3 linked regions of the Struthio camelus genome follow. The protein of the gene in region 3 binds, or shares a complex with, the protein of the main gene of each other region. Links are inferred from orthologs where the notes say so. Each region holds a gene or a part of one and is shown on either strand. Other genes may lie near its edges.

Region 1 (11,072 bases), about 50 Mb from region 3:
TGAAGCAGCCCATCCTGTTATACCAACCCTGATCCACAGCTGTCTCTGGGATCCCACAATCATCTAACCTTTTGTACAGTGAGGTACAATACTGAGTTTTACTTCTTGCCTACGCTTCAACCTCACGCACAATTTTCTAGGCTTCTGCCCCAATAAGGAATTCAGAACTCTGAAATATCATCATGCTCAGTGACTTTTAACTTGGCAGGCTTGGGAGTACTCTTGTGTCCTGGCTATGGAGACAGGATATTCTGCATGACTCTCACCTTGCAGGGAACATGCAGTCATGCTCACGATACAACTTGTTCTTAATGATTTGGTAGTGTGTTCCAAGCTTCCGGCTCACCACATTTGATATTATCTCCTTGGAAATGCCACCTTGAAAAGGAGCCAGGTCCTGCTTCCAGACGCTGAAACAGAGCAAATGTCAGCCACCATTAGGCACAGTAGGGAAGATGCTGCCTGTAAATTACTGCAGGAGAGGCTTCTAGCTAAAGTAAGCTCAGTGTAGCTTCCAGGAGCTCTGCTACATGCGGCATAATAGAGGATTTGATTTAACTCACCCAAAACAGCTGTTACTCAGAGACACAAAGGTCCTAGCTTTGCTCTCTGATGATCTATGCGCCATTTGCCTGAACAGAAAGCCCAATACAGGACTCTGAAGCTAAATTAACACAGACACTCCAGTTACTGCCCCAGAAGTACACACCCTGGCATGTTATGAGTAAAAGTCTTCAGCTCACAACCTTTGAGTCCTGCAGCTTGAGCTCTGGCCTTCCAGGAATGCCAGGCCACATCAGGACCAAAATCCTCATACAATACCATTTATATGGTATTGTATGGTATTTATAGACCATAAAAAAGAAGTCAAGAGTCTAGTCCCAAAAAGCAGCATCCTCCAATCATGCTGTGTGCAGTGAAAGCCAGTCCAGAAGACCAGGCCTAAGGAGAGTATGCTCTGTGACATCTGTACATCACCAGTGAGCTCCAGGAATGAGGTATGAAAACATAAACCTAATATGAAAATATAAACCAAACCTAACCTAAACCTAATGTAATGAAAGACAGGAGAAGGAGGATGCAGTTTATGTAAATTTAGTCTAAAGGTGCTCAGATCTAATTGCTTGGAACAGTTATGAAAACTGACAGATTAAAAGAGCCATGGAGAATTCCTCCCTACTTTTTGGCATTGAAGCCTTGGTTTAATACAACACTACACAGATTTATCAGGTATAAAATTGTAAAACTACTTTAAAAAATTGCTGCATAACAGATGGGCCATCCACAGGAAGAGCTGTCGGGCAAGGATGGAAACGTAATGTGCTTGAAAACAGGAGGAAAGCAAGAGAGCTTCATGGCACAACCATGTCGCGTTAATCTAGGTCACTACCTTCCAGTCGTCACTAACAAGTTCGGACCTTCAGTCGTTGGCCACTGACTGGCACAAAACCAGACACAAGTAGAATCTACTACATGTGGAAAAGTACGGCTTTCAGTGTTCTGCAGCACATTTAAAGATCTCCAAATCAGCTAACAAAATTAACTGAGTTTTAGTGTTACACAGTGTACATGCTATATAATTTTTCTTGCTTCTTTTATAATGCCTGTCACTACAGAATACAACCCTTAAATGAACTACACTAGGTTTGGAGCCCACAGCAACTGTAACTTCCTGTTACTATCAATTATCATGTTCTGAAGCAAGTTTGGGTACAACCCCTTCCCAGATGGTTACAACCTCCAAAGGTGGGCAGGAGATGACAGCATATATGTTTAAAGCTGAGGAGATATCTTCAAGTTATATCAGAATTGGAACTGAGCAAAAAGACTGGAAGACTAAACTGAAAGAGACTTTTCCTCACCAGTATTTCAGTGAAGATCAAAAGCTCCAAACACAGTGTACAGACAGCTGCCTAATAAGACTCACTTGATATTAAAAGCCAATATAGCACCCAATCTCATCCCTAAAATAAATGATACAGCTGATACTTTTTTAAATAGGAGACTTATTAAAGCTGGGCATCTGTGTTTGGAAACCTGATCCCAAAGACAGAAGAATTAGGATTTCGACTCTTTCCTGTACTCCGTCTCCCCCTTTAAATAAAAAAAGCTGCTTAGAGGGGTGTGTGTGTGTGTATGTATATATATATATATATATATATAAAAATAAAAAAAGCAAAAAAACCCCCCAAAAAACAAAAACCAGTCCTACAGCCCCTACCCACACAGCAGTTATGGCTTAGGCATCTGTAATGTAAGTTCTCCATACTGAAGTCATGCTCAGTCAGTAGAAACAGATGTGAAGTTTGGTCTGGCTAGGTCTACAAGGCAGCTTAGCCTACCCTTGTACTACCTGCAAACGTCTTGCATTCACATACGAAAGGTCCTAGCTCTCTCCATTAAATTCACTATGGGAAGATCAGGCCGACATTTAAAGTGCTAGCACTCCGCATAATGCTCCGCAATTACAAATAGGCAGTAGAAGCTCCTGAACGAGCTCCTCCTGGATCATGCTTTGCTCGTGTGAAAGTCAGGTAGTTAAATATCCACTGCCTCTCCAATTCTCACAGGCAGTGATTTAAACTCTCTCCAAACAGTGTTCCTCCAATTCTCTCCTCCCTTCTTCCACTGGAAGCCCTGTCCTGACACAGGCAGCACGCAAAGTACCAGGGAACAGCACAATATCAGACCAAAGGAATCTGTGTTCGCTAACAATCCTTCTTAATCTGGTTATTTTAAAATATTTTGCATGTTCCTGATCTCTTTCACTTCTAAAAGCTCAAGAGAAAGACTTGTTAGCAACATCCCATGGAGAGAGAAGGCAGAAGAGGATCATTAACACAGAAATATCACCAGCTGCGTGGACGGGTGTATTGTGTGATCATATGTAAGACGCTGACACAGTTTGCGTTGTTCAGTTGGACAACAAGAACAGTGATCTGTTTGCGCACGGACACACCTTCTCTTGGAAAGCTGGAAGCCAAACCGTTTCACACAGTACCATTAATAACCTCCTCCTCCTAAGCACTGTGACCTATGATGGCTGCAGGTGTGACACTTTAGAGCCCAAATATTCCATAGCTAATTCCCACCCATCAGTGCCAGAATGAGTATTCCCTCTCAGGGGCAGGGGCCTGTCCAGGAAAAGGAAACCAGTTTCTCACCTTTGGTGACAGCTGCAATTCTCCTTCACACATGGCTTATAGACCTCCAAAGCTTTGTTAATTTGGTCAGTTATTGTTTTCCATTTGGCATCTAAAATATACAGGAAAAGAAAGGTCAAAGGAATTTATCCATTAAACTCCGAGAGCAACTACTGGGAGCTGAACAGGATTTCTGGTCCAGCTGATATCACGGCAATCGCAATGCACCATGATCCCACAGCACACTTCAGTACTTTCCATGCAGCTGAACTAGAGCGTGCCTGACACAGAACGTGCTCTGTCCACCTCAAGAGATGGGAAGAAGCTGAACCTCTACTCACTCATTCAGCCATTCAAACCCTGACTGCTCCACCGACACAATCCTCAATTAGGTGTCAGTGATTCTTTCTTTTGCTGAGTCCAGACTGCAAAACCAAACTCAACTCCCGGAATAAGCATTAGACACCTATGACTATTAAAGTGGCTTAGCTGCATTCGTCTCTGTAATTATAAGGAATTGGTGCACATCCCCCCTCGTATGTTATACGTGATTTTCTCTCCAGAAGAAGGAAATAAAGGCAGAGAGTAAGGCAAATTCTAATTCTTCCAGCTCACAGAGATCAACGGTCAGACTCTTTTGCTTTCCTTCCTCAGCTACGCACCTGTGAGGGGCACACATACCTTGCTAGTTCTACCAGTGTTAACAAAGGGCACAGAATCGTCTCCGGAAGTGATATCCTTAACCCTAGTTAAGGTTAGCCGCAGTCCCTCAAAGCACACGGAGGGAAGAAGCCGCCACACGCGAGGATACCAGCCCGGCTGCACCCAGTTGGGGCCACCCAGCTGACGGGTGCGGGCTCGGCCGGCGATGGGGCAGCGCACCGAGCACCGCACCCTGGCACCCTGGGGGCAGCCTCGCTATAAAAGGGAACCTGGCGCAGGCAGCCTCTCCCCCCACGGCGGGGTAGGGGCCGGGAGGCTGCCCGGGGCCGGAGAGGGGGCGCCTCAGCCCCGGCGAGCGGCGGGAGGGAGGCAGGGAAGGGCGAGGGTCGTCGGCACAGGCGGCTGAGGTAGAGAGGTAAGAGACGGGGGTAGGGCGGGCCCTGAGCCCCGCCGGCTCCCTCCCCCCGGGGGGACCGCGCCGTTAGGCTAACGGTTAACGGCTAAAGGCCGGCGGCCGCTCCCCCACCCCAGCAGCAGCGTATTCGGGAGACGCGCGGGGCCCCCGAGGCGTCCCCCGCCGCTCGCTCACCTGCCGGGCCGCCCGCCGCGGCCACCGGCCGCCACACGGCAGCCGCCGCCAGCGCCCACAGGGCCACCGCCGCCCGCCCCATGCCGCCGCCGCCAGCACCGCCCTGCGCCTGCGCGTCCCGCCGCCGCGGTGGGCGGCGCGCCCCAACCAAAGATGGCGGCCGCCCCGCACAAAGATGGCGGCGCTGCCGTGGCCGGGGGGGGCGCGAAGCATGCCGCAGGGGCTCGTGGGAGCTGTAGTTCCTGCGGCGGCGCGGCCCCTTTGCCCCGCGGGGCTGGTGTCGGGGGGGCTCCTGCCGGGGGCAGCCCGTCCCCGGAGCGCCCACGCAAAGCCGGGCCGTGGCAGCGGGGCGCTGCGGCCGGCCGGCCGGCCAGCCCCGCAGGGTGGCTGTGGTGGGGCGTGGGGCCCCTCTGGGCTTCGTCTGCTGTGCCATCGCCAGCTGCGCTGCCCTCGGTGTAGCCCCCACGGGGCTTTTTCTGGGAGAAGTCGAGCTGCGAAACTACTATTTTTTTTAACGTCCTGAAATAAAGGCATGAGCACTGGGGACCTGGCAGGGAGACTGTGACCAGGACAGTGGTTTCCCCAGGGGGAGGTTATCCATTGCAGAGCGGCTGTGCCGACACCTGCGACTGCCCCGCCTGTGGGAAACTCGACTGTTATTTACAGTAGTTGGGAGCTGAGTGCTGAAAGAAAGAGCCAAAAAAAGAGATGCCTAGAGAAGAGCAGAGCATGTATTTCTGACACTTCCTCTAAAGACTCTCCTAGCTTTAGCCATTTTCAGCTTGGGAAATTCCTGAGCTGTATATGGTTGCTATGTATCTAGCAGCCCTCGGTGGATTTGGGAGCTTTTTGGAACTGCCCTGGACACCCGAAATCATCCAAAAACGCTTCTTCCAAAGTGTAAGCAAAAGGCTCCTTCTCTTATCTCTACTTGAGGGGAAGATTGGGGGAGGAACCTCTCAACTGAAGAGCATGGAGGTGGGTTTTACCACAGATCAGGTCTGGGGAGAGTGTTTTGTCAGCCATCTTTACTAGCACCCATTGTCTGGTACTTCCAGGCTTATTTTGACCAAAGAGTAAAATTTGCCTTCTTTCCTCGGTGTGTGTTAGCCTGCCTACAAGAGTTGCAGAGAGGTACCCAAAAGCAAGAATCCACCATCTTGCTTGCTACTACCAAGGCCTGACTCAATTTAATCACTTGGGATTAAGTCATGAATCTTATGGTGTAAAAGTTCAGGTTCACTTGTGTAAACTTTCCTGCAACTTCAGGAATGTGGGCTTTGGGCAGGGGGGAAAGAAATACTAGAACTGAGAATTGGCGATATCAGCGTTGCAAAAGCCATCAATGTAATATGTGTAGGACCGTCTCCTTCCAAAATGATTTCTAAGAATACAGTTAATGTTTGGGTCAGCTCAGCCTGTCTTCAGGAGACAGGCTCATTAACAAAGCCCTGGATGTAATAGCCATACTGATCAGCAGCCAAGTAAGGTAGGTAAGAGGGGCAGGGGCTATGCAGGCACTATTCTATCTGGCACATAAATCCAGATCATTTGATCAACATTTTCTCCCTAGGTTGAGTCTGGGATGGACCATCCCTCTTCCTGGGGTCTGCGTGTTCAAATGCGAACACCAAACCTTCATCTTTCCTAGCCCAGATCCATGTTAAGGCATTTCGGATCCTAAGAGGAGGCTCAGTGGTTGCTCACTAATAGGAGGCAGCCTGTTTGCAGGCTTTACACCAAGTTTGCACCTGTATGTAGCAGGAAGGCTGAAGGATTAGCCACACAAACCACCAATGAAATTTGTCACAAAGGCCTCTTGTGTGAGACTGAATGGATTCTATAGGTATCTGTAGGTTTGGGTGGAGAAACTGTTACCAGAAAACAGGCCAAAGAGGAAAAGTATATGCTGAGAAAGTATGAAAGTTTTCTGAAGACTGGTAAGTTCTGGGCATTAGTAGTTCTGCTGAATCTGCAAAAGCTTGATAACTTAGGGCACCAAGTATCTGCTGAATCTGTGCAAGGCCACAAGCAAACGCTAGTGTCAACAGTGGGCTGTGTGATTAGAGGGCAGGGGTTTCTGTATGCAAACAAAGACTACATGATTATATATGCATCTCTTGAAATAAATGAGTTTGAGGGACTTTCCCAACACCTACCTAAAAGCTGCTAATGTGTCAGCGCTACCCACTACTGAGTATACATACAGCTGGGGTGGCCACTCAGCTGTTGCTCCAGCTGGGTAACTGAGTGAACTATGTGAGTAAGTGAATGTGTTGTGGGTATAGTTGTCTGCTACTAGTAGTAACAGCTTCCTACAGTGAAAATCTGGAGTATTTCTGTCTCACATTTCCATCCTAAACTTGTGTTGCATGGCCAAAGAATGTTTCAGCAAATCAGGAAATTAATCCCTTTCCAACTTCTGCTAGAATCCCTCTGTCGTCTTTTTGCTTTCTACTCAGGATCCAGTTTCTTCATCTTCTGCTGTCGCTTCTACAGTTCTAGTAGTAATGGGCTCAAAACCGGAGGCTCGTCTGAAGACTCTGCCAAAAGTATGAACCTTAAGGTAGGATCAAGCAGAAACGGCTGATATGTTGGATATGTTTGCTTGCCTCCAATGGTCTCGCTCAGCCCTACCTGTTTCTACAAATCTAATCCACCCATTATTTCTGGTACTATTTTCTGTCTTCCCCTTCAAGTTCCAGACCAGATTTTCCTGCTCTTTCCCTGCTCACCAAATAGACACATCAGTGTGCTGTCCAACACTGTTTCTGGTTGTTTCTCACAGCTTCCATGCTAGTCCGTTTACACAGTCAGCAGAACTGTAGTAGTTTGCTCAGTAGCAAAGGTTATTTTGGGTGCTTTCTCTGAGGCAAAGAGTAGGAGTGGTAGTTAGCATAAATGTTTAATAGAGCCTGAGAGCTAAGACTTTAAGATGAAGCTCCTTTTGAAGCTGCATTTACAGCCTTTGCTCTCCCAGGCTTTGTATAATGAAAGCACCCCAGGCCACTGTGGTGTGGTTTTGGAATGTGCTGTAGCTTCCCCCAAGCATCTTGGATGGCTGTAAGCTTCGAGCCCCTTGACTCTCACTTCAAACACACCCTTTGCCTCACCTTCTCTACCTGTTTAATTTCCTGCAAATCCAGAGCTCTGTGAAGGAGCATCTGGCTCTGATCTTTGATACCTTCCCTCAAACACTGTCCTTCTCATGTTTTTTCCTGCCAAATCAAGCACAAACACCCACAAACTGACTTTCATCGTGTTCCATCTGCCTAGAGTGGAAAATCACTTGGCTGCAAGTCTGGTGTCCTTGCTTTACATATCCAACGTAGGTTAGAAGGAGGGTGCTTGGGAAAGGGTTTGGTTCTCTAAGCTGCTTATAAGACTGAGCTAAAAAAAGTGTTTTACTTTCTAGATCTTGAGTTTCTCTCAAAGCTATAGTCTAGCTTTTCTGCTAGTTGCTACTGTCTGCTTGTGAGGGGGGGCTGGTGAGCTTTTTCCTCCCTTAAGCCACCCTCTGGTGCTAAACACACAAAGGAAGTCCTGAATTTTCTGAACTTGATGGTGATTTTTTTCTTAAGTCCCATTCTCTTCTCTCCAAGTGCTTTTGGGATGGCACAGTTTTACCAGGCTCCATAGCTCATTGGTTGAGACAAGTTCCATCATTGCCCCCTCTTGCTTCTTTTTCAGTGTGGACTTTTTGAATCTACCTTCCTCTTTCCTCCTGCGTTATCAAGATGGTGTGCTGTAAGAGCACATTGGAACTGGCTCTATTATATATTGGTCTATGCTGTATCTTGCAAGCAGTTAGCATGCAGATATCAAACAAAGCAGAGTTTTGTTTAATGCCTGGCACTCTGATTATACGGAATATGGACTAGGACAATATCCTGAGTGAAGGATGACTGCCCTACCTGCACTCAAGTTCTTCAGAAATATGGAGAACTAGGAAGGTTTAGGTGCAGATAAAAAAAAGTGCTAGCAAGAAGGGAAATATCCAGGCACTGTAAATAAAGCTTTCAGTAGTTGTGAGGCAGCCAGTGTGTAGCTTTTCATAGTTTTCATGCTTGATCATCTGTGGGGCTAGGCTGGTGCAGACAGTAGTCTCAAAGCCCAGCTGTGCAAGGGAGGAAGGAAGCTATACAGGCTGCTGAGGTTCAAAACTTGGCTGTCATTACCAGGGCTTCTTGGGGGTGTGCCCGGTCCCATAAGAAGCTGCATTGCTTCTAGAGAGACAAGACTATTTCTGTTTATAAACATGGAGCTTCTCTTCCCTTTGGGCTGTGAGATTTGTGTCCTGTAACTCTCAGCGCTGCGGAGGCGATGGACTGTGGCTAGTAAGTTCAGGAAAGTGGCCACATCTGCAGTACCTGGCTCGGGGTATTTGGTATTGAATATTCAGTTATTTTAAGCAAAGGAGGCTAATTGAGACTGTTAGAGCAACAACAGTGCTACATGAGAAGTGATTTGGAGTACCAGAATGACACCCAGAAAGAGGTAGGGTCATGAACTAACACTAGAAATCCAATCTTGCCGTTCTGTAGAGCTTGCAGAATTAATGGACTGAGAGAAAACAAGTCCAGGAGCATGCAGAGTTGACTCTTGATGAAGCCCCATCTGAGACTTCCCAGTGAAGGAAGTCATCCAGTTGATTGCGAGGATTTGAAGATGAGCAGGGCTCTGGCAGTGGGAACAGTAGAGGATCCAAGGGAAAAATGGAGCAAAGGACCTGTAGCTCAAACCTGAAGGTCCAAATCTGAGGACTTGTAGCTGATTTGTGTTCCTTCAGCATGCACCTCTGAGAGCTTGAGAGAAGATGCAAGAACTGCAGTGGTTTCATCCTTTGAGGAATTTGTATGTGCCAGGGGGTGGCTGTGCTCATGACAGCAGTGACTTGCAAAGAATTCTTTGTAATAGGAACACAGTGTAGCAGCCCACAGAAGGAAGGGGGACGCCTTTTTAGTGCAAACTGGGATTTATTAGTATGCATACAAAGATGGAGTCAGGAGTAATAATTCAAGTCTTCATATTAGTATTGCCAACGAGGGAACAGGCAACATCCACTGTTCTTTGAGAAGATCAGAAAATTTAGGACTTTGGTTTAGCACAAAAAGATGAATTAAGGGGGAAAAAAAGCCACCAATACCCCTGCACAAACCCCAGTGTAAGGAGAGATTTGTAATGGTGGAGCATGGGGGGAGCTGGCACATTCAGGAAGTATCAGGTCCTTAGGCTCATCAAGAGGATGTGTTCAGTACTGTAGCCATTTCCCTCTGCAGTTGCACCATAGGCACCAACATAAGCTAAAATTGAATATATTCCTATAGAAAAAGTCTTGGCCTTAGGCCATGGCTGCAAAGACTTTTTAAAATCTGTTTGAGAGGCCATATTAACTAAAACTGATTATAAATCACTTACTGCCGTAGCCAGTGGGGAGCTGGCAAACACCTTCCTGCAAATAGAATGTCTGTTTCTTTAGCTACAGTTGTATAACTTGCAAATTGAATGTGAACCTGAGAAAGATTTAGTAGTTGCAGGCACACTCTCTAGTGCCTTTGACAAAAATGCAGTGGAACAAAGTCCCAGGCTAGATTATGTATATGTCAATTGGGGAAAACAAAACAAAAAACCCAACTCTCAAATGAAATGCAGACTTTTATTGCTGGTGGTTTGCTGAGGATGAGACACTGCAGGATGTAATTAAGGCTCTAGTAGAAAATGATTTGCACAGCTTATTCTGTCCCTGTTTCAGTTTAAAGCTATTTAGATACCACTTCTTCGAGGCACGAAGAAAACTGATCCTTGAAGTGTTGCAGGAAAATAGTTTAAAGATGCGGAAAGTCATTTAGAGTCTGAAGGCAACGTGAGACATCTCTGCCTCCCTCAATAGTCAGAAAGAAATACAAGCGATGTTAAAGGGAAGAGTGTGTGCTGGTGGAAAACACTGACCCTCTAGAACAAGGGTAACTTAGGTTTACACTGGCTTGATGAAGGAGCCCTATGCTGCCATTTTCATATTCCTCTGGTGCCTTTATTGGAAAATACTATAACGTTATAAGGTTCAGGTCTTGCATCTACTGACAATGAATTTGATATACACGAAGTAATGCTCGTCAGTGTGCCACACTTTAGCTGGCACAGACAGTTAGCTGTATCGCAGTTAGCCCCATTGCCTATACCTTGCGTGCTGGTGGAAAGTGGTGTCAGAACAGTGCCAGAAGGGGGGCAGTGCCAGTCTGTTACACTTTCAGCACTGCTCAGATGCAGTAGATCGTTGTCTGTGCTAGCAGAAACGGGTATCATAACCTGTGGGGGTTTGCCAACGTAAGTAAACAGAAAAAGGTGAACAAAAACTAAGTATGATTTTTTGGAATCTAGGATTGGCAGTGTTTCACAAATGATATATATGCGTAGCAACACTAAGAAACAACAATTACTGCCAAGCTGTGCTCTGTGGTGGCTTTATGATCATGTGAAGTGGTTGCTGTAGACAGTGCATGCTGTGGAAAAAAGATATCTTCCAAATCCTGAAGGGCAGACAGAAAAAGCACAAATTTCTGCCTTTCACTGTGAAGGTCTCAGGTGATAGCTACAGCAGGTTGAGGCGGCTGTACCCTAGACAGACACACAGCTGGAACTAATAGACTTTCTGCTAAGTAACCATGGGAAGGGCTTTT
Region 2 (10,000 bases), on a different chromosome or scaffold from region 3:
TGAAAAGTAGAGCAAGAGCTTACCTTTCCAGAACTTTGGTCTTTCCAGTAATAGAGTTTATATTCCAGGTCATGTTTGAAAATATCTCGAATACTTTTAAAGCTTCCATTGGAAAATGTATATGGTGTAAGTGGATCTTTGAACACAATGTTCAATTTGGAATCTTTTTGTGTATAATTCTGGATCTCTGGTTTTCCAAGAATAGCTAGAAAAGGATTTTTAAAAATTAAAAAACTGGCATCATCTTTTCTATACAATATATTTTTTTCTCTTCTTCCCTCCACTCCCCTTCCCTCCTCTATTATAAGTTTGCAGAGTCAAAGTAGTACAGTGAAATGAAAGATTATTAACAAATATTTTTATCTAGACGTGAGAGGACAAATGATGCAGTCCCCTGCAATGCAGTCCCCTGCAATGGGAAAAGTGTCATGCTTGTAGATCTTATTCTTAGATACTAGTAGTGCTACTATAAGAACCTATAGAAAAAATCTTTAGGCCCAATCCAAACCTTGTTTAAATCAATGAAAATCTTCTTGAGATAAAGCTTATGATAAAATTAAATTGGCAATCCTACTTACTCTGATTATAAGGAGTGAATTTTTCAGAGACTGCAAAAGGTGGTTCTTCAAAGTTATCCATCCTCGAGGATGTTACAGACAGTATATGTGCTGTATAGGTCTCTCTTACATTCCTGAGCACATCAGTAACATCACACTCTGTTTCTGCTGTCAGAATACATTTTTTTTGTGTATTAGATGTCTGTCTGAAAAGAGTAAGAAGTGTCAACACTTTCTAAGCAGATTTAAAAAAAACTATTCATATACGTTAAAATACTATTCCCCCTCCTCAAAGTATACAGATTTCCCTCACTCAGTGCAACATTCTTATAGGTGTACTAGTCTGAAATAGATAAGGTAAAAACCCAAAAACACTACCCTGTAACAAGTATATTTCAAGTTTAAATTGGAAGCAAGTGAATCAAATATGAGTCACACTATGCATTATATAAAGAAGACGTTATTGGAGACATGTATGAATTAAAAATGATAGAAAGCCATCAGTAGTTTGGATTTTGGCTTTGGCTTTTTCTGAAGTTGACTTACAATAAAAATATAAGGGAACTTAGATACATAAATCACTTTGACAGTTTTATCCTTGATCAATGATGCATACGAAAACTATTGCCTAAAGAAACGTCAGTTATCCTAGGTAGCTCTGCTCACATGAATGTTAATTGTTTAATCTAATGACAACGACTCCTCATATTTCACTTGTATTCGTATCTGTGTAGATATAAATGTTACTGAGAATAAAAAGCAATACAAAAAATAAAAAACGTGACTCATGGACTTCTCTTGATTTTTAAATGATAAAGGGCAGGGTCATTTACTTGAGAAATAATAACTACACTTGGAAAAAAAATGTTAGCACCCCACTTTGCTTCCTAATAAATGGAAATAGAAAAGTAGATCTGATATTACTGCTTCAGTTCTTTTCCCAGTCTTTGCTGGTGAACTAAGAACAAAAAAAGATTTAGTGAACTCAGATGAAAGATCAAGAGTGTTGAGTGTTTGGAAGTTAACAAACAAATTTTCCTCAAAGTAGGTTAAGGTCTGGCAAGCAAGAGTTTTATTCAAGAGTTGCCTGAACTCCCTTCCTGCTTCACCAGATTTCATATGATGTAACAAATCTGTGAGTTTCAGTGGTCTGCGGATGCTTTGAGAAGGGACAGAAGAGATTTGATGTTTATAACAAAACAAACATACTCTTTTAAATGTACATATATATCAGAAAGCACAAATTGAAATGTACTTAAGACAATCCTGTCTAAAGAAGTTCCTCAGTATCAGAACTGTACCTGATTCTATACTGAATTTTGGGCAAACAGGCTTCATTTTTTTGCAAGCACAAACAGCAGGAAAGAAACTCCAGGTTCACAAGCAGTTCACTTGGCAGACTGCTGGATAAGGTTCTGTGCCCATGAGAAACCTTTTTGTAGGATCAAGCTCTTAAGCTATGTTGTGCCATTCTGCTCAAGCATGTGCTTTAAAGTCTATTCATTTAATCACTCTTTTCAGAATAAAGGGTAAAAGAGGGCATTGGACCGTTGCACATTCATTTATTAGTCATGAGAGAACTCTCATTTGTAGACAACTTTTATAGACAAAAGTGGCTACAGTACCATGTTTTCATTACTGTGTAGGAGAGTTGATGCAGTTTCTCTTCAGGGCATGTTTAATAATGGTCTGTGAATTAATAGGTGAGCTAAGTACCGCACAGATTTATTACTGAACTTCACTGAAGTTTTAAAAGAAATGTTAGACACTTCATATAGGCTGGCTGTTTTTTATGGTCTGCAGTATTTTATAACCTCTATAATCATGACAACAGACAATGCTTTGATAGAGCTAGACAAACAAAGGTCATTTTTAGTATTACCCAGCATTTCATTGATGGTGATTCACTGATTAGTATAAAATTCAGACTCATTTATCAGACACCTCCCAAGATTAAAGAAAGAACAAAGACCCCATCCAGACAGCTTGAAAGACATAAAAAGGTGACGTTCTATCAAGTATATGTTGCATGGTCTAAAGTCAACTGCCTCAATGTACCCTGGCCCAGATCTCCCGCCCAGTTGGCCTGCACCGAACCCCAGAACTGAAATACTGATCTAAAGCTGAACTACCCATTTCTGAAGTGGATGAAACCAGAATCATGAATCAGATATTCCTACAGTTGGGTATGAAGAAGGTATAACTATTGGGTAGGCAGTTTTCCCAAAATCCTCATTTTTGGGCTATTTTCCTGTTATGCTCACTCTCAAAAATATTCAGACACTCACTATCTGCATCTTCTTCAATTGTCATTAACGTACACAACTTTGATGTTATCTACTTACCCATGTATTTCTACTGTGTAGGAATAATTAGATGGTTTTGGTTGCCACCGTAGTATTGTTTTAAAGTTGATCGAAGACCAAGTTATATTAACTGCTGTTGGTAGATCTTTACTGCCTTTAAATATAGAAAAGAGCACCATTAGTCACACTATATGCAACTCCCGGCCCCCTGCATTTGCCGTTCACTTAAAAGAAGCTGTTGTTGCTAATTGCTGCTTGAAGGTCTTGGGGAAAAGGGTTGGTCCTGCCCTCCGGGCTCATGCTTGTCTTACTAAATCCTGGCAAAAGTGAGAAATATGAAACATGAGTGGAGTTCTGCCTAATGCTTCTTTCTACTTTTTGATACAAGACCTTTTAAGATGCTACAAAAGCTTGAAGATATTCATGGGAATGTCAAAGCACTAAAACAAATGGAGTATAGTTCAAATTCATTCCTACTTGTAGAAACCATTAACTGCTAGTTTCCCTATTTATTTTAGGAAGATAAATTCTTAAAAAACCCAGTAGTTGCCCTACACGCTTATATCTGAGAAGGGCTACCACAGAATTTAGTTGTAGCCTGGGCAAAGGGGAAGAAAGGCAGAGGCACCCTGCACGCCCGCAGCGGTGGCTCTGGCGACACGCGCTCTGGGAACTGCGAGGGAAGAACCACAGGGGAAAACCCCACACCGCAGGGAAGGGCCACAGCGTCTGCGGCCTCTGAACATTAAGGATTTCCCTTGGTGATATCCTAATTATTTTCTAAATACAGCCTTCTCTGCTCCTTCTACAAGCTGGAAACTGGAGACAAAAGAAATGGAGCAATTTACTCCCTATTACTGGTGTTCAGCAACCGACCTATGAAATGCCCCTTCTTTGCCCCCAACGCCTCCCCAGCTATGAAAATAAAGGAGCCTCTTCAGGAAAAAAAAAAAAAGAAGAAGAAGAAATAAAAAAAAAAAAGAAAAAAATCCCAACCTTTAGTGACCCAAGCGCTCCACCGCCACTCGGGTGCTGAAGCATAACCGGTGGAGAGCCGGGGTCCCCCGGCAGGAGCCGTTACCCTGCGCAGACCCCCCGCGCGGCACAGCCCGCGCGCGCCGGAGCCTCTGACCTCCCCCCGCGCGGCACAGCCCGCGCGCGCCGGAGCCGCAGACACCCCCCGCGCGGCACAGCCCGCGCGCGCCGGAGCCGCAGACACCCCCCGCGCGGCACAGCCCGCGCGCGCCGGAGCCGCAGACACCCCCCGCGCGGCACAGCCCGCGCGCGCCGGAGCCGCAGACACCCCCCGCGCGGCACAGCCCGCGCGCGCCGGAGCCGTCGCCCCCGGCCCCTCCGCCGGCGCGGCTCTGCCCGGGCGCTGCCCTCGCCCGCGGCGCCCCCGGGCCGCGGCCCCCCTCCGTTACCCACCGGCGGCGGCCAGGCGCCCCAGCAGGGCGCACAGCAGCAGAACCCGGCCTGCGGCGGGGGCGCGCAGCATCCTCGGCGGAGCGGGTCGGCGAAGCGCGGCAAAGTTGATCGCGGTGAGCTGCCGACGGGGCGGGAGGCGCTGCCTTATATGAGCGGGCGGAGAGGCGGGGATTGCGGGCGCCTCGCCCGCGGGCGCCGCGGCGAGACGGGCGGTGGGAGCGGAGGAGGCTCGGACGGGGTTACGGGGAAAGAGAGCGGGCCTGGCGGAAGTGCTCCGACGTAGCCGCGTTGAGCAAGCGGAGAAGAGGGGATGTGCGGGGAAGCTGGCCTTCCTGTAACGAGAGGAGCCCCGAGGGAAGGGGCGGCAGGTCCCCGGCAGGAGCACAGGGAGAGGTCGCCTCCAGTCCTGCCACTGTCACGCCGGCACGGTGCCCAGTACCAGCGTCCACTCGGATGCGCCTGCAGTGCCTAGAATGCTCTCCTGCCTTCTCAGTGTCGCCATACACTTGTACCACACCTCATTCACCCTCCCTTGGCCGTAGGCTGAACTACTGGTGAAAGCGGGCAGCACTCAAGGACCAGCTTCAACCACTACACAGCTTTGGCTGGCTGTCAAGGGCAAGAGATTAACACCTCTTGGTGTTACCACGGCCCCTGCTTGGAAATGATGGCTCTGGAGGGCAGGTGATCCTGGGGAAGTGATGTCTGGTTAATTAACTTAGACTCTGTGAGTTCTGGAGGGTTAGATATGTATGTCAGTTCCTATCTCACCACATGAGCCATCGGATATGACCGTTCAGCCAGCTCAAATCCTTGGTTCTCTCACTCCCTATGCACGTGTATGCGAACCCTGTCGAGGTTCCCTTGTACTACCAGACAGCAAATAACCTCCAAGCGTTCAGAGATTTGTACTTCATCTTCCCCATAAATCAAGGACCTGTTAACCATTTTCTTATAAACTAACATTGGAAATGTGTGTCATTCGCACAGGTAACAGGCTCTGTCTCCGACAGCAGGTTTTTCAAATCTCAGCCTGCAGCCTTTGCCACGTGCTCCCTGTCCTCTCTTGTATATATGTTGCTCTTTCCCCTGATACCAGCTGTCTGAGGCTGGATTAAGCACTTAAACGCGGTTTTCAGAGGTGGGGGTTTGCTTGCTGTGTTTTCATCGAATACTCAAGCTGTAGAGGGAGCTATGTTCCACTCTTGGCTCCTGAGTCTTCTACAGGGAAGGTGGAAACATGCTACATAGTAGAACCTATTAAAAAAATGAAAGAGGATAGATACTTTTTGTAGTGTTAAGTTGAGTTTTCTCTTTATTTTGAAGCTGATCTTTACAGTGTCTCATACTTGAAAGATATAGGTAGGAGGAGAAGAGTAATGGGGAAGTTTCATATTTAACTGCCTTTTAATTTTCATGCTTGCTACATACTTAGATACAATCAGTTCTGCCTCATAATGTAACATAAATTATCTATGGACCAAACTACAGTTTCAACTGGAGTCTGCACTGGAATTCATATAGTATGTCTCTAGGTGCATCTAAACCCAGAATTTTAAATTATCAGCTTACCTTCATTGAAACCCAGCCACCATACACCTTCTGATTGTTCTGCCTTGTTTTTTTTCAAATTTTAGTGCTACCTCTATGCAGCTGTATGTCAGCATTACATCAGTCAAAAAACTCACGTGCTTTTAACTTTGTATGGGATGATTATCTTGTGTGACTAGATTTTCAAGATTGTGATCTCATACAATCACAGATTCCCAGAGGACTTTACAAGGAGAAAAGATACTCATTTGTTTAAAGAAGAGGCATTTATATAGTATTTTAAATCACCTTTAAGCTCTAATTCCAGTTAAATTTATCTGCAGTCATAAAGGATGGAAAGCAGGTCAGCTGTGGTTCCTAGTTTTTTTGGAGATGGTCTCATTGACCCCTTCTTATTCTATTTTCCTCACTCCTATTTCCTCCGTCATGCCCTCTCATGTCTGAGAGGTTCGCTGGCTGGGAACCTTCCAGACTCTACCCAGATTAACCAGCTTGACCAGTGTTACTTTATTCCAAATTCCAGCAAGATAGTCTGGTATTCGCTAACATCAGGCTTTCAGATGTGCTGTTCCGTGCTGTGGCATGAGGGAAGGAGGCCATCGGTTTACCAGAGCAGTGGGAAGCAGGGCCTGAGCAGAAGGATGTGCATGGATCAGCAGGAGGCAGGGAATCGTGTGGTTGGGGGCAATAGCGTAACTTTACCAAGCTAGTCATACTGAGAGAAGGAAGTCGAAGGGAAAATTTGAAAGCTGGGGTAGGGGGGAGATACAGGATGCCAAGGGGACAGGGAGGCTAGAGGTTGGGAGGGAAAAGAGCGAGTGACAAAGGAGGAAAGCACTGAGGTGAGGAACAGCTGCTGCTGCTGCCACCTCTGCTCTTTCTTCTCCTCTTTCACCAAGTCTTGGCGCAGATTTGACCAAAGGATGATTTGCACAGCGCTGCCTGACCCCAGGCACCAGTAGGGGTAGAGCAACCTGGCCTTGCCTGACATGGTCTGCTGCCTGTCAGGGCCTAGAGTCTCTGCTCAGCAACTAGGTGATCTCACTGTAACCTTCTAGGTCACATTTCCTGTCCACTTCAATGGTATTTCAATAGCACATTTAGGACAGAAAAATTTCCCACTATTTTAAAGATATTTTGCTAGATGCAGGCAAGCATTTTGCTGACTTAAGAGCTCTTGCAATTTTTCTAGAAATTCGGAATTTGACTTCTATGGTGAAATGTCAAGATGTAGATGTGTACATGTCTATAACTGATTTAGTCATCCTCTGCTCATTTTACAGTCAGCAGAGGAAAATTTCATTCCGAAAGTGAAATGCATATTTTCCTAGTATAGACATCTAAAGCAAATCATATTAATCTATTTACATACTGAAAAAAATGGGAGATTTCCATTGATGGAACCCAGGCTCTTACTGTACGTTTTCTGAATATGCAGTAAACAAACAAATGCGGGAGCGCAAGCTTGGCTGCATGCCCTGGGGTAGGGAGATGACCTTTCGCCCTCTATGTTCACCTCTGGCAAGTTCACACTGGAATCAAGGTTATTCACCATGGGGAAAGTTTCCCAGATGAGGAGCAGGCTCTGCAGATTCTCATTCTTTAATATGTATACCATTGAACCAACCTGCAGATGGGTTATTGGTCATTATATAATGTTTATCAAGGCCCTTTTAATCCACATAATGATTATGGGAAAGGTGAGGAGAGAAGGGAAACTAAACCTGTGAAACCCCTCTGTTTTGGAGAGATGCATATTTTTGTGTGTATCATATGATCTGCCAGGTCTGCTAAACTGGTTAGCTTAGAGATAGCTAAGCAATTTCCTCATAAGCTTTCTGTACTGTCATACATAGTTGTTGACACAGAAGTGGAGTGCCTCAAATAACATGAGTTACAGATCAGGTTCCTTATGCTCATAGTTATGCAATATTTTAAGTAAAATTTTATAACGCTTGCTAATGTTTTGAAATTTTGTAGTGTTATCGAACATCCATCATTCCATGCTAGCATTCAAGTCAGAAATATTGCCATGCCCAGTAGTGTAAATTTTACTCATGTGAGTAATGTCTGAAATCTCCAAGAGCTTTTTCCAAAATGAAATTGCTCATGATATTCACTCCTTTTGGTCTGCCTTTCACATCTCTTGGTTTTTAATGTATCTCAGTGAGCCATATTATTGGGTAAGAACTTATCATATGCAATTAATTGCATTAAGTAGATAAAATAAGAGGTTAGGGAGCAATCTCTGCTTGATGCCTGCTTCCAGAAATGTCTTAACATCTCTCTTGCAAGTATGTTGCATCAAACACAGTGATATAAAGGCATATATAAATACACAAAACACCACTGCCTTTTAAACATTGTTTGTGATCAGTACTATAATTAATATATTTGGTAACTAAATAGTTTTGTCAGGTATAACGTACCTGTATGTAGTGTCAGTAAATAGGCTGTGAAATTCAATAGCACTGTGTGTCCCTGGCATAGGTCTTGTTTTTTCTGTTTTTTTCAGTTCCAACTAACTTGCTAAAAGGAAAAGGCCCTTCAAAAGTCTTGCAGTATGTGCAAGTTGCATCAATACTTTCTGCCTTTGCATGTAAGTGCCTTAAAATTCTTAATTAATGCAGATTTATTATATCCTGTGAGTTGTATTATACCCATTTTGTATGTAGGGAGGACCCAACTTTTCTGTGGACTTACTGAAAGTCTGTGGTGAAGTCCGGAATGTATGAGGTATTGTTTTTATACCACAGTCTTGTACCATAATCACAGGATTATGCTTCCTTTTTTTATTAAGCAAAGAAAAACTTCTATCTGTTGAAATTCTCTAGTGAAGATAAAGGAAAACTATAGAAAATTCAATATTTAGATACTTACATAAATTTTCAGAAAGCTGAGTAATGGATGTGCACTAATGTTCTGCACCAAAGCATGGAGGGTGGGTATGAGAACTAACCTGTGAGTTGGTTAGTTACATGTAGCGGTCAAAAGTTAAACCTGTCTCTGAAAAATTCCACTGTGCACTCTGATTATTACTGACCAATTTTTATAACTGCTGAACAACTGCATTTTCTGATTGTCTGTAATTGTAACATGAATGGTAGGTTGTTGGCACATCACTGAACAGCAAGCCGGAAAAGTTAAAGAAATTACAGACATTATAGATTTAGAGCTTATCTAAAAATGGCTGTATTGACAAAGTGTGTATAGCAGTATTTATAATTGGGGAGTTTGGTGTAACACTGTAAAATTTGGTACCTAGTCCCCTTTTTTATGTACTGAAATAGAATCAGTGTAATTTTACTATCTCTCATGGAAAGCAATGTCATTAAATTAGTGTAAAGGAGTGAAGAATCAACCCTCATATCTAAGAGGAGAAGTAGTACTTATTCCTGAAGTCTCCACATCAATGGGATGAGTGACACTCCCTAGCTAGTGGGCAAGTAATACCAACTAGTAATAAATGTCATCAAAGTGTAGCAAAAACTATGGTTATAGAGAGAAATCCTAAATTGTATCAATTTCTTCTGTGCCTAGATGGTCTTGGTTAACCTAAACAAACTGTTGTAATGTTCCATGTATGTTTGACACTGTAATGCTGTCAGTCCCCTCTTTGTACCAGATCTTCCACCACAACAATGGAGTAGCCTCTTAGAGTAATTCCGTTACCTGAGAATGTCTTAATAACATGAGTTAATCTTGCAGTTCTTTGGAACATCCATCATAAACATTTTTTTCCAAATGATGACAGGCACTAGTGCAAATACCAGATCTTGTTTACTTATGTTTTCTTCCTATGCTTGTGTGTGACAGGAAGAGACACTCTTTGGTAAAGTTAGTGGTCCTAATCCCAGCTAGCTTGTTTTGTAAATTTAATCTCTGCTGACGTCAGTAGAGGTACTCCTATTTTATTTTAATATAAGTAGATCAGAATGAGGTTTAATGTTCTTCCTCATAAACCAGTACGTGTTCTTTATGCACTGGTCAAAAAAACTCAACTTTTTCCCCTGAAATTTATTTTGGGGCTGTTTTCTGAATATCAAGTGACTAAATTGAGAAAAATGCAACATAAATATTAAGTAAAAACAGAACCTGTTTAAAAGGAGGTTTGCACATTATTGGTGGCATCTTTTTTCATACTAAATGTGATCTCGG
Region 3 (10,389 bases):
GGAGAAGGGCAGCTAAATTCCTTTGGGGCATGGGATGTTGCCCTCGTAGGGAGAGGGGAGATAGGCTGAGTGTCTTGAGGCTGGAGAGGAGAAGACTCGGGGGCACTGGCTGAAGTTTCCAAAGTTGTGAGGGTGGTGGCTGAGCTGAATGCAAAACTCTTGTTCTGCACATCCATAGTATCCCCCCTCCTCAGGGAAAAACAAGTAGGACATTGGTTTAAAGCAGAGAGGCAAGGGTGCTTCTGCCCAGAGCAGGTGGCATCTTTGGGGATTTGTTGCCACAGGAGGTGGCAGCAGGCAGTCTCAGCATGTTGAAAAGGGGATTAAACAAATTCCTGGGGAACAGATCCATGTCCAGAGCTTTTAGAAAAGGATGAAGCAGGGATGTACCCTCTGATATCCTGAATACAGTGGTTGTGGGGTGATCAGAAATGTATATGGTATTCATGGAATGAATGTTCCACAGAAATAGTGATATTTTGGGCCATAACAATGTTTGGGGAGGGGTCTGTTTTTTATTCCTTTCCAGGTGTTTCCCAGCCACTGCACATCAAGCTGATATTTTCAAAGACCCATCTACAGTGGCCCTAAGTTAGAGCCCAGCATTGTGGGCATGCAGTTTTCCCAGCTACTTTCTCATCCGTTCTTTTCAGCTTCATCTGTCATTTTGCTACCTGCTCATTCACTATCACGAGCTTCTTCTGCAACTCTCTGCAGCTGGTTTTAGTTTTGAGTACCCCACAGATTTCGTATCCTCAGAAAACCCTGTCTCTTACTCCAGCTCCAGCCAGTATCCTACCCAAAGGCACTTGCTGCTCTGCTTCTCTCCCTGCTGTCTCCCTGCTCTGTTAAATACTCCAGCTGCTAACAGCCACTTTGCTGGCCTTCACGCACCTATTGGCCACCAGCAGCCAAGGCTGCGTTCCCACCGTCTGTCAGCCGTGGCTGCTTGAACTTGCCCCATTGCCTGGTTCTTGCTCCGGGATCTTTGTTTCCTCCCCTTTCTCCATGCTTCCTCTGCAGATGAGCTCCTTGGCAAGCAGAAACTCAGCTGCCGCTTCTCTACAGGTACTCCAGCTGAATTGATACATGTGGGCTGAGTTTGCCACAGGAGCTAGATTGTTTCTAAGAGCACATATCTAATAATACACTGAAGGAAATGAACAGTACCATTTTCCAAGTTGACTGCTGATTTACTTAATGGCTCTTACTCGTTTAACTGGAGCTGTTGTTCTGCAAGGCCGAAAGGCAAGTCACATAGATAAATGTGTAAACGCCGATGTTCTGCATCCGCCTTACTGCAGCCTTGCCGAGGTGAAGGAGGCTCTGTCGCACGCTGGCCAGGCACCAGAGCAGCTGCTCCTCGCACCAGCCTGGGGCGAGAGACTACGAGGGCTGGCATGCTGGCAAAGTGCTGTGGGAAGATTGGGGGGAACACAGTGGCCAAAGATCACGAGGTGGAAAAGAGAGAGAATACAGAGCTGAAGGGTTATTTTTTGAGGCAGGGCATGGGACTGGTGAGTGTAGTGGTGTGAGGCACACAGGGCACAAAAAGTGTTTTAACAAGAAAAATGCTACGTGTCAGTGATTGAAGTAGCTGCTGTGTAGCTGCTGCCAGGCTGCTGTAAGCCACGCAGCGAGTTCCCATCCTGCTTCCTCGCTAGCACTAGTGCCCTGGCAGCCTTGCAGTGACCAGGTCAAGGAGCAGCTCAATCATCTCCCCCCTTCCCCAGGCAGTTTTCCACCACAGCAGCTCCCAGGACTGATGGGAACCGAGACCAGAATGTGGCCCTGGGGCCAGACAGGCTCTTTAATGCCAGTGCTGTCCCGTAAAGGGCCACCCTCGAAAGGCAGCAGGGGAGCTGCAGGGGGTGCGCAGGGCGATGAGATGTGACATGGGGGGGGGGAGGCTCTTCTGGAGCTGGAGAAATGCTGGTACAGTTGCTTCGTCCTCCAGGACCTCCCTTGGCTGCTCATGCTCTGCTGCATGTGGTTAGCTCAAAATATCAAGTCATACACAAACGGAAAAAAAAACACGACAAAATATTGATGGACTCCAACCATTTTGATAGCTCCAAGGGATATTCACAGGGACGTGTCCTCGGCCAAAGCTACAGTCTTCTTTTTAATATCTTGGGGCAGTGTGTTGTGTAGACAAAGCCTCGGCAAAAAGAAGCACGGTGTATAAAAAAGCAGGCTAGAAGACAAATTGGCAATGTTTCCTTCTCCAGCGCAACAGAAGGATCCCTCAGGTTGTCTAATCGAGAGGCCGAGTTGTGGCCAGAGCCCCAGAGCAGCCAGGGGAAAGGCAAACCAGGAGGAATGCTCCCCAGCTGCTCTGCGGCTCAGAGCCCTTTGGACACAGGCAATGCTGCCCCATGGAAATTCAGTCCCTACAGCAGCAGGAGACCTACATAAAAGAAAAGCTGAGGTGTGACAAGGTGTTTGCTAGGCTTCTTTGCAGCTCGCTACCAGTACCACCAGCAGCCTACAGATGGTGGTAGAAAATCAAGGCTAAAGATTTGTGTTTCTGTTCTGAAGGACTTTAACCAAGATTAGCTGGTTTGGTGCTGAAATACTGTCTTTGACAAATCAGTTGAAGTGAATCAATGAATCATTTTTCAGGTTTTTATATTTATTCATTTCATATAAACTGACAAGGCAGCAAGGTCCTCACCTGCATTCAAAAGACTACATATTTACTAGTGGTAATGTTGTGGCTGCGTCTCAGGAAATAGTCAAGAAAAGGTCTGTATGTATTAGAACTAGTATTTCTTATTACCAACTACAACAGGAGGCATTAAACAGACAAACTTTGGGGGCACGCTGCCTTTATTTCAAATGTATTTTGCTCTGCCTTGTCTATGTTTTTTGTTTCCTTTGTTATCAGGGTATCTGCAGATATTCTCTGGCAGCAAAAGAAGAGGAAAAAAAGATTAAAAAATAGAAAAAAGTTTTAAACATTTATATTCAGAGATGATCATAAAAAAATGCACAAAAATATCCTCTCCCCATCTTCTACTCTCACTTTGTGAGGATAATTGCTGAATAGGGATACAGAACTCAGTAAAACAGACATGTGGAGTAATCTTCTCCTAGCAATGAATATTTCTCTTTTGAAGTCTAAAAAGCAAATCATTTATTTCAAGGTTTAGTAATATATATTTTTAATTAGTATCACAGAAATAGGAAATGATTGATTTGATCACAGGTTTAGTTTGTGGACAAAGAAGGTAAGCTCTTCTTAATTCATCACATAAATGAATGATGGCAGGTTACTCTTGTTATTGGAGATTTAGGTTAGGCTATTGGAGATTTAGGCTGACTTTTCCATTAATTCATGAGGCAACTTCTTCCTAACTTTTCTTACCTAGACTCAGTCATGTCAGTCTACTCGAACAATCTCTTATGGTCTCTCTGAAATAGAACTCATTGAATAGTTTTCTAAATTGTTACTGAGAACTGACCAGAAAAGTCGCATTTAAATAACCAGTGACCTGGTAAAGCAGATCAAGTTGCAGTGTTCCCAGAAGCTTTCATATCTGTCTTATCTTCAACCTAAAATATCAAACTAAAAATAGCAAAACTGTAAGTTTTTCTTTGAAAATGTCAGTATGAAACAAAAAAAGAACAAAGAACAGTATGTTCTGAGACACCAGTTCATCATGTCTTCCAGGCTAATGTTTCTGCTTTTAGACTTTTTTTTTCACTTTGTTAACATTTTTGATGTTTATTTGCTTAATCTCCACTTGGAAATAAAGCAATTTTGACACATCCAAAAAAGCATATGCTACAAAGCACCCTAAGTCATAGTTCCGGAACAGCTGACACTAGGTTGATTCTAGTAGTACCCATGAACAGAAAGGGTGTTTGTTTGTTTTAATATATTTTCACTTTTAGTTGGACGGTAGATTATTTTTCTTGGACTTGCTTAGAAAATGTAAGCCAGGACTGAAGCCTCCAGCATCAAGGAGATTCATAGCACAGAATACCAAGGTAATTCTCATGTACTACAGCAAGACCGCACTCACGCACATACACGCACGCACAATCAATGGGAGATTTAGGGATCCTCTGGGGAAGAAAAGCTAACAAACTTAAGTTTGGCCCCCAAACTGGGGTCTAAGACAAAAAGGGAGGTGAGCTCTTCTTTAAGTAACACGACTCTAACCAAAGAACTGGCCCTCTGAAGTTAGCAGGAAACAGTTTTGAAAAGAGAACTGTGAATATTGTTAGTTAATGTTACTGTGAATGTAACTGAGAGAAGAGCTGACGTTCTGGGACTGCTGAATTTCCAGTGACTCCCCTCATGGGCTTGGTCACCTTTGTCATCCCTAATGAAATCTAATCATATGAATTTTTCTTGGAAGAAAGACTGTCGCCATATGACCTGAACGCTGACTGTTGTTCCCAGCACTTGGGCTTCCCCCTAGGCTCTAAAAATAATTCAAAAGTGGTTTTCTATATTCCCAAGCAGCAAAAGCAAAATCTTTCAGGCTTAAGCAGTGCCAAAAGAGGAAGAAGGAAGGACAATATTGTACCAGCCATAAAGGATGCACAGAACCTGCCAACTATGAAGAAAGAAGACACAAAAGTGAAGCGGTGCCAGAGGTGTGTTGACGCCGCTGTGGAGTGGGAGCCACTCCAGTCTCTCCAGCAGTGCACTGGCAGATATCCACCCATGCCTTTCTGGGAATCTGGCATAAAGATTTAGCCACTGATCTAAAAGTGGTATTGAAAAATGTTCTAGGTGCTCCACAGTGATAATGTCTAACTTTGAAGCTTTTTCTGCACGTGCCATCATTTCCAGCAGGGCTAGTTAAAGGAGCAGCCTAAGAAAATGCTGCTACGAGTGGCAATCGGTACAAAAGGCAGGGTGGCATCAAGTGCGAGAAGCACGGCCTTGCACTCTGATTTGCACGACTGGTAGGTAGAGGCTTGCTCATATACACAGAGGAGATATCTTTCCCCGAGAAGAGCAGACAAAAAGAAAAGTTTTCAAGCAGCTCCGACAAACTTAGCTTAGCTCTTTGTAAGCTGAATATGTACTTACTATTTTACATTAATGGCTGCAGGCAAGGGAATATATCTTCAGCTTTTCGAGTAAATGTATCTTTAGTTTTTCCTTCTGCCCCAGTGCAGGCACATGTCCAGTCCCATTTTTTTCCTCCCTTCCTCTCTTTTGCCTAGACACAAAGCTCTTCCCTGCCTGGCAATAAGAGCCAGTGCACTCCCCACGGCACTGCTGCCGCCATGATCTCCACATGCTCCTCTCCTTGTCTGCTCTTTCCTTCTCTTCCTTTACCCACCAGCCCACATTCCTAGCAAACAGAGAGGTCTCCGAGAGGTCTTTTAGCCTGTGTTTTCCTTCCTTCAGTGATTTTCTCTTCTCTGACCCCCATGGTGGCTGGAGCTGGATGCAGAGGGGAATGAGGACCATGTCGTCGAGCTATGAGGTGTGGAGGCCATTCCCCAAAAGCAGAGGTGAGGACCGCTATGGGCTGCTGTAGCTCCTTTTGTATTCTAGTAACCGGCTTCCTTCCTCTGCCCTGGGACAGGACCTGCCACCAGTCCCCAAAATCCCAGGAACTGAGCTGCTGGGAATGAGCCAGGCTGCGATCCAGGGAAGTGCCCGAATGCCCCCTCTTGGGAAACAGATTTCAAAGCAGGATGTCCAGCTGTGCGCACTGCCGCTAAATAACAGGAACACATGCAAAGAACGGCTGGGACCCTAGCTTTCCTAATCAATCATGACTTCTGCAGGAAGTTAAGCTGAGCGTTGGCCTCAAAGTAAAAAAAACAGCTGTTGCTTTCTTGGCTCTAATGTTCATGTGCAAGAATGACCCTCCTTCCTTTACACTTACAAAGTGGAGAACTGCCTGGAAAATACTCCAGCCCTTAGGGAATGCCTCACTTCTCATAGGCAAACATGCTCTTTACCTCTCTGTTATCTTAAGTAAATATTTACTTAAGAGTGTTGTCAGCTCTCTAGTCTCATGCCGTTAATTGATTTCTATTCAATCAGAGGACTGCTTAGTTTCCAGATAAAATATTGTCTGCAGATTGGCCCCTCAGACCCCTACTATTATTAATTACATATAGTGTGTATTGGGTTCAGCACCTCTTCCAGCTGGTAGAACTCGTGCAAGCTCTGTGGGTCCTGCAGCAAAAACAGAGCAAAGCAGTGCAGGGTATTTCTTGCTGGTTAATTAGTGTCTCCAAGTAAATTCAGCCAGTAGTTCAGAGTTTCAGCTGGTGAAATGGGAAAAGACAGATGTCAATAGTTTGACCACTCTGCAAAGCAAAGAAAGGCTATGCATTCAGTGCCAATTCAAGCTAAAGATTAGTGTCTTCATTTCTCTGCTCTCTGCTTCTCTGGCACTGTAGCCAAGTTAGTGCCATTCAGACAGATGCAGAGTCCTTGGAATTTATATTGCTCATCAAATATCATGTTAGATAGTAAATAAAGGCCCACAACAGAAGACTTTGTAATCAGCATAGACTTTGCACAGGTCAGAAGAGAATGCTTCAAAACCAAGCCCTTTGCTGGTGTGGAAAGGACTCATTGCAGGACTTGCATGCGCACTTCTCTCTGCTGTCATCACTGTAATGGACCTTTTCCTGTTGTAATGACTTGCCAGCCCCTCCTCTAGCGCGAAGCGTCTGAAGCTGAGCTCTCTGGCTAAACAGTCCTTGCTGAAATGTCAATACATTACTGGGACACTTGCAGGGGTCATCATGGTTTCCAGGCTGTACACAGCTTTGTTTCTCTGCTTCCCGCTCCTGATTCCTCTTTCTCTGGATGCAGGTATGTGATAGGATATGGCTCTAATTATGATTATTGGCAGTGGACCTCTCTTCCATTTTTGAGGTGAAATTCTTATTGTAAGTTTTGAGCACTCTTCAGTAAAGAGTATACGCAAATGTTTGCCCAGCCTCTCATTGTGCCTGTGAGTTAAAGGCTCTTGTTTGCTTTCAGTGATGGCATCCATGTGATTATTTTGTCGAGTGGGGAAAATCGCTTCTACACGCATATGTGAATCTAGTCTCTCACTGCACAGACAGCAGGTAAACCATCAGCTGTCTGCCCACTAGGTGAAAATAGGGATTTGGATCTATTGCTATTTTATGGTCACCTGTTTTACGGAATTTTTCAAAGCAGAGATTTAACAGTCTGTCGTTCAGCTGATGAGAAACTAGAGGGGTGAAGCTCCACTATGTTTCCACAGTAGTAGAATGAAGTGAGATATTAGCTTTTCAGTAGCATCAGTATATGTCTGAAAATAACCTCCCAGATTAAGAGAGGGGACCAAGTGCTTTAAGATGCCCAGTTAGCCATTGACAAGGCCTCTTGAATTGCAGTAGACAAAGCTGAAAAAAAAAATCACAGAAAAGTCTATAATGTTCCAGTGCAAATAAGTGGAGAATACAGAAATAAAGGTGGGAGGAGGTCACAAGCCATGCACATATGCAAATCCCCCCGTTAGGGTCCATGCAGGCACACTGATGCATATGTAATGTATTTGCAGCGTAAGGTCAATTACAATCCTTTAAAGAAAGCCAAATTAAAAGCTTACAACCTGACAAAAATCAACAGCAACATTCCTACAATAGACAAATTCTTATGAAGCATCCTGTGACAAATTAGATGCACCACACAACAAGTTATTCCTTCAAATAACTTCATAATACAGGGAAAACTACTACTGTTTTTGTATGTAATTCAGCAAATGTTCTGATTAGAGATTAACGAGTAGAAACAAAGTCACCAGACCGGAGTAAATCCTCTCAGGGTTTATTTTTGTGTGTATTTATGTGAGGATAGATATGAGTGTCCATATCCACATGCACCCCCGATTTTTTATCTTGTCCTTCAGAGACCACCTCAAAGCCTTTCCAGGAGGTAGGAGGTAATTACCTCTCTTTCAGGGGTCACATAGTGGAGAATGTCCTGGGGGAAAGGCAAGGGCATCATCCTTAATCCTCAAATCTACCCACAATCCCAGGTGAAATAGTTGCAAGTGCTGAGATATAAACTGTTGTCAGTAAGCTTCAGAACTGCCTAGTGACACGGAGGAACACACTGCAAAATTAATCACTTCAAGACTCATGCAGTGTAGTGCATGGAGCAAAAATACACTGCAGCACTGGGTCTTACTGTTTATTATCCTGAATTATACCAGGAGGGCATAGTTGGTGGTATGATTATATCCTGAAGCTTAGGAGGAGGTCAGCATGGTGAGTCAATGCTATCAGGTCTTTAAATGCACATTTACATTCGTTGGAAGCTGAAGTAGCTCTGTGAAGTGAACTCTGATGACATCTGCCATACAACTTGTGTTCCCAATGTCCTTTCGAAGTACGGTAGAGACTCACAGGGATAAGACCCCTGTGGCTGTGGTCTACGGTGCTAGCAGCAGTTAGGAGCCCTATGCAGGCTCCACTAGGCAACACAAAGGGCATTGTCCAGCCTTTCTATGTACCATGATGTAGTCTTTTTTTCAGAAGAAAAGTAAAGATAACTATATTAAAGCAGTGCTTCTCAAACTGTGGCCTACTAGCGGCCTGAAAAATCCCTTCTGCAGGTCCAAAGAGTGAAAGGTTTGGAGCTAAAACCAGTGATGAATGGAGCACTGGGGAGTTAGGGTTGACTGTGGTACATCTGGCACCAAGTGACTTACTGTAGTGAGTACAGGAGAATGAGCTGTCACCACATCTGTCAGCACTAGATGAAATGACATGCGCTGTTCAGCTGCTAGAATCGAAAGAAACTCTGTCCTGTCTACCTACTATATAATGTGTGCCAATACTTTGTGTACTGCTGACACGTAACACTTCTCTTAAGCTCTGGGCTCTGCAAAATCCACGTGCTGTCACTTTACCTGGGAGGCACGTCAGAGAAAGGAGGTGGTGGCTCTGAAAGGTTGCGCAAATTTGCTCACTATGTCTAATTCTAAGACTTCTCATAAAAAGCCTGGAAAGCAGAAAAGCTTTCAGAAGAAACCTTTCATGCTGTCCATCCTTTCTGGACACCGAGGATGTATGGCAAACAGAACATGCCATTGTTTTTCAGTCTTTTTAAAGCAGGAAGAGGCAACCAGTCTTTTGCAAAGGCAAAGAAGAGCCAATAGCTTCTTTGAAGAGATAAAACTGGGGTCACTAGAGCGAGAATGCATGGAAGAAAAGTGTTCGTTTGAGGAAGCAAGAGAAATTTACCACGACGATGAAAGGACAGTAAGTAACACAGTGCTGGGTAAGCGCTCGCAGTCAGAGGGACTTTAGGTGGAAATTCCCCATTATTCAAGGGTATACTTTTAAGTGTTCTTTGACACTTGAAACCATGAAAGCAAAAAAAACGCTCTGTGTCCTGCTGTTTGGATCTTTGTCTTAGGTACCTAGGGGGGCACACTGCAGCAGTGTGAAGGGCGTACGACATGGACCACATCAGGCAGTACCAATTTGGGGGATGGTGGGAAAGGAGAGTCTAAGTCATCTTCCTGCCCCCCCACTGCAATAATTCCAGGCCTGAAAATACCTTAAATACTTGTATTATGCCATAAGTTTGTTTTCACCTTAACCATAGGGAGATTATTAAGGGGAACCTACTTGTGCATATTACACAGTGCTTGTCTCTCTTGGTAGAGGAAAATGAGGTAGAATATTTTATGGACATCCCATTTAATAAATTATAAAGGCAAAAAGGGGCAGCACTGTGGCTGTCTGTAATGCGTCCTCTGTTACAAGGGCTGTCGGATTTAATCTGAATTATTTTTTTCTTTAATACAATTTTGCATCTTTTTCTTCCAGACAGAATTCTGGCACATCTATTCTGGTATGAGAATTCCACATGTTATAAAAATGCTCCCGCTGCTGCAATTCTTCATGTGATCTGGACTAACGCTGAACGTTTTTACAGACCCTAACCAGTGTGACTCCAATCCCTGTCAGAACGGTGGGAGTTGTGATGATCAGCTTCAGGATTATGTTTGCCGTTGTCCCAAGGAATATGAGGGCAAAAACTGTGAAAAAGGTCAGCTATGGCATAGCTTAACGAAGTAAAAATGTCATTATTAATTCACATGCAAGTCATTGGGATAAGCAGTAGCAAACATTGATAATCTGTATCATTCTAGCATTGACAGCTGCCATTAACACTGTCTGCAGTGTTTTATGATGGATCTAACCAGCTGACAGTCAGGCACTGTATAGCAGCAAAATAATTGCTACCTTATGGGGATCCTGTAAAAAATTGGACTTTTGTGAACCACCAGAGAGAGAAGGAGGATTGCTCTTCCTATCCAAATTTCCAAGGGTGGGAAGTTACTTGACTATGCTGCATAAGCCATCATACAAAGTCAGAGGGGACAGAGAATGTCTAGTGTCTAATTA

Evidence for each region.
Region 1: the proteins of F7 (region 3) and POGLUT1 are in contact, whole or in part, in a crystal structure (PDB 5L0S), measured with the Homo sapiens proteins. The link is inferred for Struthio camelus from reciprocal best matches to the Homo sapiens genes F7 and POGLUT1. Residues at the interface, in NP_000122.1 of Homo sapiens: Asp108, Gln109, Cys110, Ala111, Ser112, Ser113, Pro114, Cys115, Gln116, Asn117, Gly118, Gly119, Cys121, Gln126, Ser127, Tyr128, Arg139, Asn140; in NP_689518.1 of Homo sapiens: Met103, Phe104, Pro105, Ser106, Arg107, Arg132, Asp133, Pro171, Ala172, Trp174, Pro178, Thr179, Thr214, Asn239, Gln240, Ala241, Val274.
Region 2: the proteins of F7 (region 3) and F3 are in contact, whole or in part, in a crystal structure (PDB 6R2W), measured with the Homo sapiens proteins. The link is inferred for Struthio camelus from reciprocal best matches to the Homo sapiens genes F7 and F3. Residues at the interface, in NP_000122.1 of Homo sapiens: Leu73, Lys78, Phe91, Arg96, Leu99, Phe100, Ser103, Ser120, Lys122, Gln124, Leu125, Ile129, Cys130, Phe131, Cys132, Leu133, Pro134, Phe136, Glu137, Gly138, Arg139, Lys145, Gln148, Ile150, Val152, Asn153, Glu154; in NP_001984.1 of Homo sapiens: Thr49, Asn50, Lys52, Ile54, Glu56, Trp77, Lys78, Ser79, Lys80, Phe82, Tyr83, Glu88, Asp90, Asp93, Gly141, Gln142, Thr144, Glu162, Arg163, Thr164, Leu165, Arg167, Phe172, Tyr188, Trp190, Lys191, Ser192, Ser194, Ser195, Gly196.

What each region holds. Positions count from the first base shown.
Region 1 is NC_090942.1:106,512,438-106,523,509, forward strand, and holds the start of POGLUT1 (protein O-glucosyltransferase 1), read right to left. Parts: upstream 4,510-11,072; 5' UTR 4,478-4,509; coding exon 4,396-4,477; intron 3,256-4,395; coding exon 3,165-3,255; intron 411-3,164; coding exon 267-410; intron 1-266. UniProt on the Homo sapiens protein: Dual specificity glycosyltransferase that catalyzes the transfer of glucose and xylose from UDP-glucose and UDP-xylose, respectively, to a serine residue found in the consensus sequence of C-X-S-X-P-C.
Region 2 is NC_090949.1:18,033,723-18,043,722, reverse strand, and holds the start of F3 (tissue factor), read right to left. Parts: upstream 4,807-10,000; 5' UTR 4,362-4,806; coding exon 4,292-4,361; intron 3,018-4,291; coding exon 2,903-3,017; intron 764-2,902; coding exon 579-763; intron 206-578; coding exon 24-205; intron 1-23. UniProt on the Homo sapiens protein: Initiates blood coagulation by forming a complex with circulating factor VII or VIIa. The [TF:VIIa] complex activates factors IX or X by specific limited proteolysis.
Region 3 is NC_090942.1:156,877,403-156,887,791, reverse strand, and holds the start of F7 (coagulation factor VII), read left to right. Parts: upstream 1-6,234; 5' UTR 6,235-6,738; coding exon 6,739-6,808; intron 6,809-9,073; coding exon 9,074-9,234; intron 9,235-9,807; coding exon 9,808-9,832; intron 9,833-9,916; coding exon 9,917-10,030; intron 10,031-10,389. UniProt on the Homo sapiens protein: Initiates the extrinsic pathway of blood coagulation. Serine protease that circulates in the blood in a zymogen form. Factor VII is converted to factor VIIa by factor Xa, factor XIIa, factor IXa, or thrombin by minor proteolysis.